2 linked regions of the Saccharomyces cerevisiae S288C genome follow. The protein of the gene in region 1 interacts with the protein of each later gene in a pairwise test. Each region holds a gene or a part of one and is shown on either strand. Other genes may lie near its edges.

Evidence for each region.
Region 2: the proteins of CNM67 (region 1) and YPL216W interact in a two-hybrid assay, tested with the Saccharomyces cerevisiae proteins (one large-scale study listed by BioGRID).

What each region holds. Positions count from the first base shown.
Region 1 is NC_001146.8:222,215-226,670, reverse strand, and holds CNM67 (Cnm67p), read left to right. Parts: upstream 1-2,201; coding exon 2,202-3,947; downstream 3,948-4,456. Other genes in the region: SQS1 (Sqs1p), read left to right, coding at 1-1,875; JJJ1 (Jjj1p), read left to right, coding at 4,240-4,456. UniProt on the Saccharomyces cerevisiae protein: Involved in the pathway that organizes the shaping and sizing of the prospore membrane (PSM) during sporulation. Required for the proper formation of the spindle pole body (SPB) outer plaque.
Region 2 is NC_001148.4:142,067-147,716, forward strand, and holds YPL216W (uncharacterized protein), read left to right. Parts: upstream 1-1,754; coding exon 1,755-5,063; downstream 5,064-5,650. Other genes in the region: GTPase BMS1, read right to left, coding at 1-1,105; CBP3 (Cbp3p), read left to right, coding at 5,350-5,650. UniProt on the Saccharomyces cerevisiae protein: May be required for the activity of an ISWI chromatin-remodeling complex.

The sequences.
Region 1 (4,456 bases):
AACGAAACAAAGAACAGTGAAGAAATTGTCGAAAGGGAAGCAGACGTTTTTGAAGAACCAGGAAAGATGACTTCTGATGTTGAATATATTAACAATGAAGACAGTGAAAACGAGGATGATGATAGTCAGAATTCACCCTCGACGGACCACTCGCTGTCTTCGAATGAAAGCAAAGTTGAAGATGGTGACCTGTTTTTTGTAGATGAAGAGGCTCAGCAATCGCCGGATCTAACCAAAATAAAAAGAGTATGTATCGAGGAAATCGCAAGGCCAAGAGAAGTTGCGATAGAGTTCGATCCTATCTTAACAATTGGAAAGGTTGAACTTAGCGTTTCCGAAGGTAACGAAAGCAAGGAAATTAGTGTTGACGTTCCAAATAAGGGTAATAAGACATATCATCCATTTGCTGGTTACATTTCCAACGTATTACATGGTATGCATACTAGCGACTCGGACAATGATGAACTAGACTACGAAATAGAAACAGAGAATAATAGTGAACCTTTATACGAATCCTCAGCAAGTTCTGAGGTTGATCAAGGGTTTAATTATGTTGGCCAACGTCACAATTCCCGAGCTGACAACAATCTTTTACCAAGCCCTAGTCCGCAGTTGACAGAAGATATAAAATGTCTTTCAATAAATGGTACCAAAACATTCGAAGGCAATAATGATAATCTGCCATCTCCTGCTAGCGAAGAGTTAGAATTTGGATTCAAAGAAGAAGATTTTGTCATAAATACTAATGACATAGTGGTCTCCAATATAAGAATGGGCGGAGTAGACAATTCATATTATCTACGGTGTTACAGATTACTGGGAGATTACGACTTTCATTGGATTGACCAGGACTTACTCACAGACTTCGTTGTAGACGAGTTAGGTCTTCCTGAAGATAGATTACCTGCATATTTGAATTTTATTAAAAATTCTCTTATACCAAAAATTGAACCAGCTGAGCCAACCTACTCAGATATTCCGATTTCTGATTCGAGTGATGAAGGTGACAGCTATGAAGGCGACAGCTATGAAGATGATGAAGATATGGCCTCCTCGGTTGTGCATAGCGACATTGAAGAGGGTCTGGACGACCTAATTGCATACACATTGAAACATGATACAGAAAGATTCAAAACATTTGAAACCAAGTCCTTGGAAACTAAGGGTAAAGGTAAGAAGAAGAAGCTACTCATCGATGACGCCTTAGCGCTGGATACAGAAACGTTGGAGACGTTACAAAGTAAGTTTAGTAAACGCATAGAAACCAAAGCAAAGAAAAGAAAAGCCAAAGAAGATTTCATTGATCAGGAGAATAGAAATTCGAACGATATGCTCAAGAAATACCCATATGGACTCCATATTCAAAATATTAAAGATGAATTTGAGTCCTTTTTGTCTAGGAACAATGATAGACTGACTTTCCCTCCATTAGATCCTCATGGAAACAAGACCGTAATGAAAATTGCGAAGCATTATAATATGAAGAGTTCAAAAATTGGGAAAGCAAATCATACGTCGGTTGTTGTAGAAAAAATAAAGAAAACGAAATGGTCTTCTCCGAATTATAGTCTCATTGACCAATTGATGAGGCAGAGGCCAGTATTCATGAGAATAGATATAAGAAGACCGAGGGAGGAACAAGCTGCTTTCGAAAGAACTAAAACAATCAGAGGGAAATTTCATGTTAAAGAAGGTGAGATTGTTGGTCAAAACGCTCCAGAGATTGGAAACGAAAATATCGGTAGAAGAATGTTGGAAAAGCTTGGGTGGAAAAGTGGAGAGGGCCTTGGTATTCAAGGCAATAAAGGTATAAGTGAACCAATTTTTGCCAAAATTAAAAAGAATAGATCGGGTTTAAGACACAGTGAAAGTTAATATTTTCCAAGCTTTTAATCCTCATTTTCTTAACAATTGCGTATATACATATTTTTTTATTTTCTAGACTAGACCATGAAAAATCTATGGTAATATACACATACGGAGTTTTAGGTACAACTTCTCGTTACATATCCAATTCAATTATCGTAACTGTAAATAACATCTTCTTGTGAAAATTCGCGTTGCGCGACGTGAGGCGTTAGGCAATTTTTTGTGGAACGTTTATAGTAATAAAACAACTAATAACGTTAACGTTCCTCGGGAAGAAATCTACACATACAAAAAATAATCACTAGTAAATAGTGACAGGTCTTTTGTACATCATGACTGATTTCGATTTAATGAATTTTCCATTTCATGAGCGTTTGGATTCTCCTGTATCAGAGAATGGGGAAATTAAAGACGGAGAGCCAATCCCACAAAACTGGCTAAATGAAAATCATGTCGGAAAATCCATCTTACCTTTATTCGTTAACCCTGAAGATGTCATCAATTGCAACTTTTCCAATGCTAGAGACTCATATGAAGAGAACAAATCACCATCTATGGATCAAATGAATTATGCTAGAAATACTAGTTATCAGGAATCTCCAGGATTACAAGAACGACCAAAAAACGAAAAAGATAAGTCTCCCATAGGTACTGATGTTCATAAAAAGGATGTACCCAATTTCATACACTCTACTCCTAGAGAAAACTCTTCGAAGCATTTTACGAGGGCAAATGAACAGGCTTCTGCTCAACCAACTGATGAACATACATCGCCAGATATCTCGATAGAAGACTGTAACGGTGCCAAAATTTTTCTACAAAACTCCTTATCGAAAGAGGATTTTCGAATGTTAGAAAATGTGATACTGGGGTATCAAAAAAAAGTTATTGAATTGGGTAGAGATAATCTAAGACAAGAGGAAAGAGCAAACTCTTTACAAAAGGAGCTCGAAGCAGCTACGAAGTCAAACGACAAAACCTTAGATAACAAAAAAAAAATTGAAGAACAGACAGTATTGATTGAAAACCTAACAAAGGACCTTTCGCTGAATAAAGAAATGTTGGAAAAAGCCAATGATACTATTCAGACAAAACACACTGCATTACTAAGTCTCACTGACTCCTTAAGAAAGGCCGAGCTGTTTGAAATACCGATTGGTATATTGTTTTTCGATTTGTATGACTCGGAGGAAAATTCTTCAAAATTAGATCACATATTACAAGAAAAATATCCTAATATTAAAGGGTTTTTATGTGCATCACAGCAAGAAGAGCTGAGCCGCATTTCTCAGCGATTTAAAAATGCAAAAGCAGAAGCTGAGGATCTCCGAAATGAGTTAGAGAATAAAAAAATTGAAATCCAGACCATGAGAGAAAAAAATAATACTTTAATTGGTACAAATAAAACCCTTTCCAAACAGAACAAAATACTATGTGATAAATTTGACAAGTTGACAATCGATGAGAAGGAAATTTTGAAAGGATGTAATGAGGAAATAAAAATTAAGCTGGAAAGGTTGAATGAAAGACTAGGATCATGGGAAAAAAGCAAAGAAAAATACGAAACATCATTGAAGGATAAAGAAAAAATGCTAGCAGATGCTGAAAAGAAAACAAACACTCTATCAAAGGAACTGGATAATTTGAGGTCGCGATTTGGAAACTTAGAGGGAAATACTTCTGAAAGGATTACAATAAAAAATATCTTACAGTCAAGGCCCGATATTTCGGCAGAAGAATGTAATTTCCTTATGGTTGAACAAATTGATTCAGCAAATTTGACGACTTTACAAAATACTGTCAAAGAAATTGTTTTGGCTGTTGGTATTCCTTATCCAAAGTTAAGGCGAAAGATTCCGTTGCTGGCTATCAAATTGAAATATGAAAACATCATGCTGTCCAATTTTGCTCAACGTCTGCATAGACAAGTATATAGTCAAGAAATGAATCTAAAGAAATTTACGGATCAAGCATACTATGATTTTATGTCAACGCGCAGGATGGATTCCATAGATCACCATTTGGAGAGGTGTCTGGACCATCTGTATGATCATATCCTGGAGAAGATGGTGAAGTAATTTTTATTAACGGAGTCAATAGATAAATTGTTGTAATTGTAACTAAAAATTAAGGTATAAGATTAAATTATATTCTAGGAAGTATGTATAAAATATTCATTTGTTGTAAAATTGGAGGGCTTAAGCGGCCAACATTTTATGTTTACACTTTTTCTTGTTTTAAGAATAGAAAAAAAATATACGTGAAAAAAATTTGAAGTCATCGCAAAGTAGCTCTTTTTACATAGTAAAAGTCTGACCAGCCAAGAGTTAATATCAGTATAGTGATATCCTACTACTTCAAAAATAACGGATGAAGACCTGCTACTATGAGCTTTTAGGGGTCGAAACGCATGCTTCTGATCTTGAGTTAAAAAAAGCTTACCGTAAAAAGGCCCTACAATATCACCCAGATAAAAACCCAGATAATGTTGAAGAAGCCACACAAAAATTTGCTGTGATTCGAGCCGCTTATGAAGTACTGTCTGACCCCCAGGAAAGAGCATGGTATGACTCACATAAGGAACAAA
Region 2 (5,650 bases), on another chromosome or scaffold:
CCTTATCCATCAACACACCTCCGACATCGGACATTGGAGCATATATCAATTTATCTTTATCATCTAACCTTTTACGTCTTCTTGTCGTAGAGGCAGTTGTAATTTCTCCGTTAGCCTTTGCCTCTTCTTTCATTTTTTCACGTTCAAAATCATCCAGTTTCTGTTGGTAAAAAGGTGTGGGACATGGATCTGGTAATTTTTCAATTTGTGCTACTGAGAAATCACCAACACCAGCAATATGCACCCTAGTGCCCGGAGCAGAAGGCAAAGGAGTACCGTGCAAATAACCATAGATAGCGACTTTGCGGTCGATTTGCAGTCCTTGAGTCTCTATTAATTCCGGATGAGTTAAATCTGTGAATCTGTCAGCCAACATATAGGGATGTTCGTTCCTCCATTTTAATGGTCTGAATTTCATAACAGATATAAATCGTGAAAGGTTTAAAATCTCTCTATCAGGATACCTTCCATTAATCACACCAGATAGGTAAAATAATTTTGCACCTTGATAAACTTCCGTCCAGAATCTGTGCTTTAATCTTTTCTTAGAAGCTCTCAAAGTTGACTGAGATTTAAACAGATCAAGATGTGTAGCTACACCAAGTACTCTTGGCATACCGTGATGTTGAGCAATATTTAAGAATTCCATTGTTTCCATTTCAAAACCGAAATTACCGTCAATTAGTAAAAGAACCAAGTCGGCAATCTTAGCAATATCAATCATCGCATTCAGATCGTCCGCAGGGCACTCCAAAAAAGTTAGTCTTCTATGTTTACCAGAGACAACAGTAATAGGACCTTGAATATCATTCAAAGTGCTTTTTGTCATTCTCCTGACGAGGGACCGAATCAAAGTAGTCTTTCCTGTTCCAGGTGGACCCACGACAGCGACGATAAATGGAGGCGGATCATCTTCAGGGGTACGATCAACCATAGGAACATGCAGTTTTCTTTCGTTCACATCACTTGACCTTTGCATAGTTCTCGCCATCTTACCTGGGGCTGCCACGGCAAAGGCCTTTGCATTATGACCCTGCGTATGGAGCTTCTTTTTTGCTGTATTCTTCTCCTTCGCCTTACGGTGCTGTTTATTAGACTGCTCCATCGTTTCAGATAACTCAGATGGCTGATTAAAGGCTACTATTATGTGATATTTTTACCTTAACAGCGCAAATACTTTCCTTAATTTTGAAGCTTCACTTCAGCTCATCGCCTTGAAAATTTTTCATTTGTACGGACATTAAACTTAGGCGATAACAAAAAAAAAACTTCATCTAGATAATCTCAACTTTGAAATTACAGAAATATTTACAACAGTAGTACGAGTATCTGCACTATGGCTCACATGTCCTTAAAATAATCTAAGCTTACCTATCTGATATTTGTTTTGATATTGTTTAGGACCAGCAGTTTCTGAGAGTTTAGCAAATGCACCTTTACAGCTATCCTCAACTTTTGGAAGAGAAAGTGACAAGATATGTAACAATACTTGCATGAATCGACATTTGTTTACTTTGGTCCATTTTGTATATGATAGTGTGATTTAGCGATATGGAATTATGTGTATTTTTCTATTTGTTGTCATTTCAATATGGGATGACTTGTTTTCTTGTAACGCGCCACTTCAATAGTAAACATTATGAACCTGATAAATGTTAGCAGACTTAGTAAGAGAGACAATCATTTTCATTCAGTAAAAATCGCAATCCCTAGTTTGGCTCTTCTTCTAGCCGTACTTTAAATTCAAAGCAAAAATGGTTCTGCTTAACAGAAGGAAAATACAACCTAAGGAAATAGGACAGTCTGCTGATTCCTTCTCTGAAACTCCATGGGTGATTAAAGAAAGTAGCGAGCGTATAAATGATTATGACAGTGATTTAAAAAAGCTAGATTTTTACAAAAGGGATATATTCACCTGTGAGATTAGTGGAAAAGATGGCCTTTCGTATTTCAAGGCGTTAAAAAGCGAAGAACAGCACCGTGAAAAGGTCAGATATCTTTTACCAAAAGAACTAAGGAAGGCTATAGCAAATTTCGCAAACTTCAGTCCGATAAGGAAGGTAGGACACCTTGTAGAAAGCGCATTTCAGCGTTTTAGTAACCGTTTCTTTATAGGCGATACGGTGTGCTTGAAAACTATCCAAAAAAATGCATTGATTACCTATAAAGAAGGAGAGCCTAACTTGGTAGAATCACCAACTATTGAAAACAATGTCACGTTGTTCCTTGTCAAGGATGTGTTTCAATCTAACGGGATGATGGAAAGTGAAAAGGGAGAAATTTCTGCCCCAAAATTGTCACTGTATTTAATCACAGAATGCCTGAATCGAGAATCTAAAGGTGCGGCCCTAATTGTAGGCCAGAATGAAATTAAAAGGCCAGAATCACACTTTTCTAAATTCATAATTGCGTGTTTTCTTAATGAAATACTCATAAAAGTATCGAATAAGGAGCACGCACCATGGAGGGTGAAACAAGAATATATAGAAAGATATGATGTAAACCCTAAATGCTCTCCTAATATGATTGATTATTTGCCGGATAGAATGAACTCATCTTCTTCCGAGCTTTACACTCCTCTTACTATACCACCAGAGAGCGATGTTGAACCTGCTGACTGGAAGGAAACGTCGGAAACGTCGGAAACGTCGGAAACGTCACTATCTAAAATAAAAGCAATTGACGACGAGATTTCAGTCTCATTTGACCACATTTACGATAATGTGAACTCCCTTGCCTACAATGATTTGAAGGGAACCGTCGACGACAAGGAGCTTCCATTCACTGGGCCTTCGATACCATTTGAAAATATCAGCTACTTAGATAGCTCCTTAGAATATAAGAATATCGATCAAAAATGGTTCAAAGAGTGCAGTCAATTTCCAACGGAACGACTATTGGTTGTTTATCAATTCCTGAGCTTTTTTGGACGTTTTATTGGTCTATCACATTTTAATTTTGATCAGTTCCTTACTACTATCAAGTGTACTAGTCCGGAGGCTTTAGTAGATGAATATGTCAAAATAAACTTTCTTAAAACTTACAACAGCAAAGGGAGTTTCACAAATGAGAAGCCAAGAAACGAAATATATAATCAAGTGACCAGTAGTAACGTATCCCAGCGTGAGAAGGCTAACGTCTTTAATGCAGATGAGAGTCAACGAATACCTAGCAATTTCACCAGAAACCAGAAAATGAGGAAATTTATAACGGATAAAAGTACTGAATTTGTAATGTATTCCATTTTTAAAGGGAAGCCTCTAAAAAATGACGATATGGAGTTTCAATCGTACGAAAAAGTGAATATACTTTACATTGATATAGTTTGCTCGTTAATGTGTCTGATGACGGATAATGAACCTGATTGGAATTGTAATCTGATGGACAATTGGACTGAAGAAAAGCGAAAGGAGGAAGGAAATAAAACAGAAATTGATATAGCTATAGAAAAGTGTTTGAACTATGGAGATACTAGCTGGGTTAAACTTTTGCACAATAAAAACTTTAGCAACGGCAATTGGTTGATCTGTCTCCTTGGAATCTTGCAACAGAATACACATATGATAGCATATAGTGATGTCGCAAAATGTATCACAAAAAAAATACTACCTTTATCCATGAATTTTGTAAATTTAGGTGATGAGCTCTGGGATAACTTTCGCAAGAGATTATCTATAAAAGATAAAATTGATGTTTTATGGGTTCTCGTAGATTTTGCGTCCAATTTCTCGAGTTATATTAAGGAGTTGGTAGATAAAGTACCAAAACTGTGCAATGGAATCCGCTTAAAGTTGGATAGTGCAAAAAAAGAGTATATCAAATTGAAACGGCAACTAAAAACGTTAACCAAAAATCGCGTGAAGCTTCACAGCAACGTTTCAATGAACCGATATGGATCAGATGAATGTAAAGGTAAGGTCAATGCCCTTAAAGTGAAAATTGCATACTTAATGGAAGATATCGCCTTCCTAGAGGCAAAATTGATTCAGAGCGATATCAAGAGACTAGAGATTTTGGGTAAAGATAGAAATGGAAATCGATATTATTGGATGGACTCAAATGGATCGTCATCAGCCATCAGTGAAAAAAATGAGGAACTTTACAACTGCTGTTTTTTGTGGGTTCAAGGACCCTCTGAAGCGGATATAAACTTTTGCTTAGATGTCGACGTCGAATCTTTGAAAAAATGGGAGTTGTTAGCTAAAGCAAAAGGTACTGCCTACGCGACAAAAGAAGTCTTTTCAATATTTAGGTCGACAGACGGGTCTTACTATCAAATTGCTCAAGGTGAGAATTTCATGATAATTAATTCAAACGGTATCTTAATGAGGCCAACTATTCCGGCATTCATAGACAAAAAAATTATATCAGAAACTCCAGAAAAGCTCCTACTCTCTCATCATCAATGGGCTTTCTTCAACGATATAGAAGATATACATATGTTAGTAGATAGGTTGGATGATTTAAGAGAAAATGAGGGACAATTGAAGAAAGCTTTGACATCCAAAATGGACCGTATTGAAGTATCATACAAGCAACAGTTCAAAATTAAAAGGCGTATTGAATGTGATGAAACCTTCAAAAAAAATCACAAACTTTTGAAAAATAACGAGTTCACGTTTCCTGAACTGAAAAGAATTGAGACAACTTGTACATCCAACGGCCAACATTTTTCCAACATGGAGAAAATTTCCAAAAAACTATCAAGGACAAAGAATGATCTCGTTTTGGAAGCGATTTTAAAAGACGTAGCTCACCTTGGAGAATGTGAAAGAGCACTTCTCAAAAAGCAACAAAATTTGATTTATCCTTTGAATTTTCATTTCGAACAATTGAGGACGATAGACCTCGAATTTATAGTTGAAACGAAAAGAAAAAGGCAAGAGGATATTCTTACGAAGCTTTTAAATCATCAGAGGTATAAGCATATTAGTCATGTTTCAGGCTATGGGATAAGTTCTCAACGAGTAGATAAAGCTGCACATCTTGATGTGCAGGGTATATTAGAGGAGATTGAATGTCAACTTATTTCAAGACGACGAGAGGATGAAGAACGCAACTAGAAACAACTCTGCAGTTCAAATCACTCTTCCTGTATACGCCTTAGAAAGATATTAGAAATATCTTTTACTATTTAATCTTCACCATTCATTATTCCTCGTATATAAATTGGCCCATTTCAGGGCGTCTGACTGGAGTTGTATTTAGGCTTTACCCGGCGTTCTTCTGAATTTATAGCCAGCAAGGAAAACAACGTCAAAATTGGTCCTCGACTGACGCATTAGTAAGATTAATATTTAGCAAACACTATGATCTCCGTAACAATCTCTTCAGCTATTCCAACACTTGATGATGTCAGTCAATAGATTTACTTCAGGTCGACTCCCTGTTTTCCTTAGAAAGTCCCCTTTTTACTACTCGAGAGCTTATTTGCATCAAACATGTGTTTTCAAGCAAAATAAAGAAACTGCACAAGATTCGCCAGAGCTTTTAGCAAAAAGCTCACATCTGAATTCGAAACCACTAGATGTAAGCAATAAAGCACCAGTGAAAACTGCTCAGAATAAAATTCCTCTAGCTCATAGTAAATATGAATCGTCAAAGTACGAACTTCCCAAATGGAAAGAAGCCTTGGGTGAACTAGTAATTC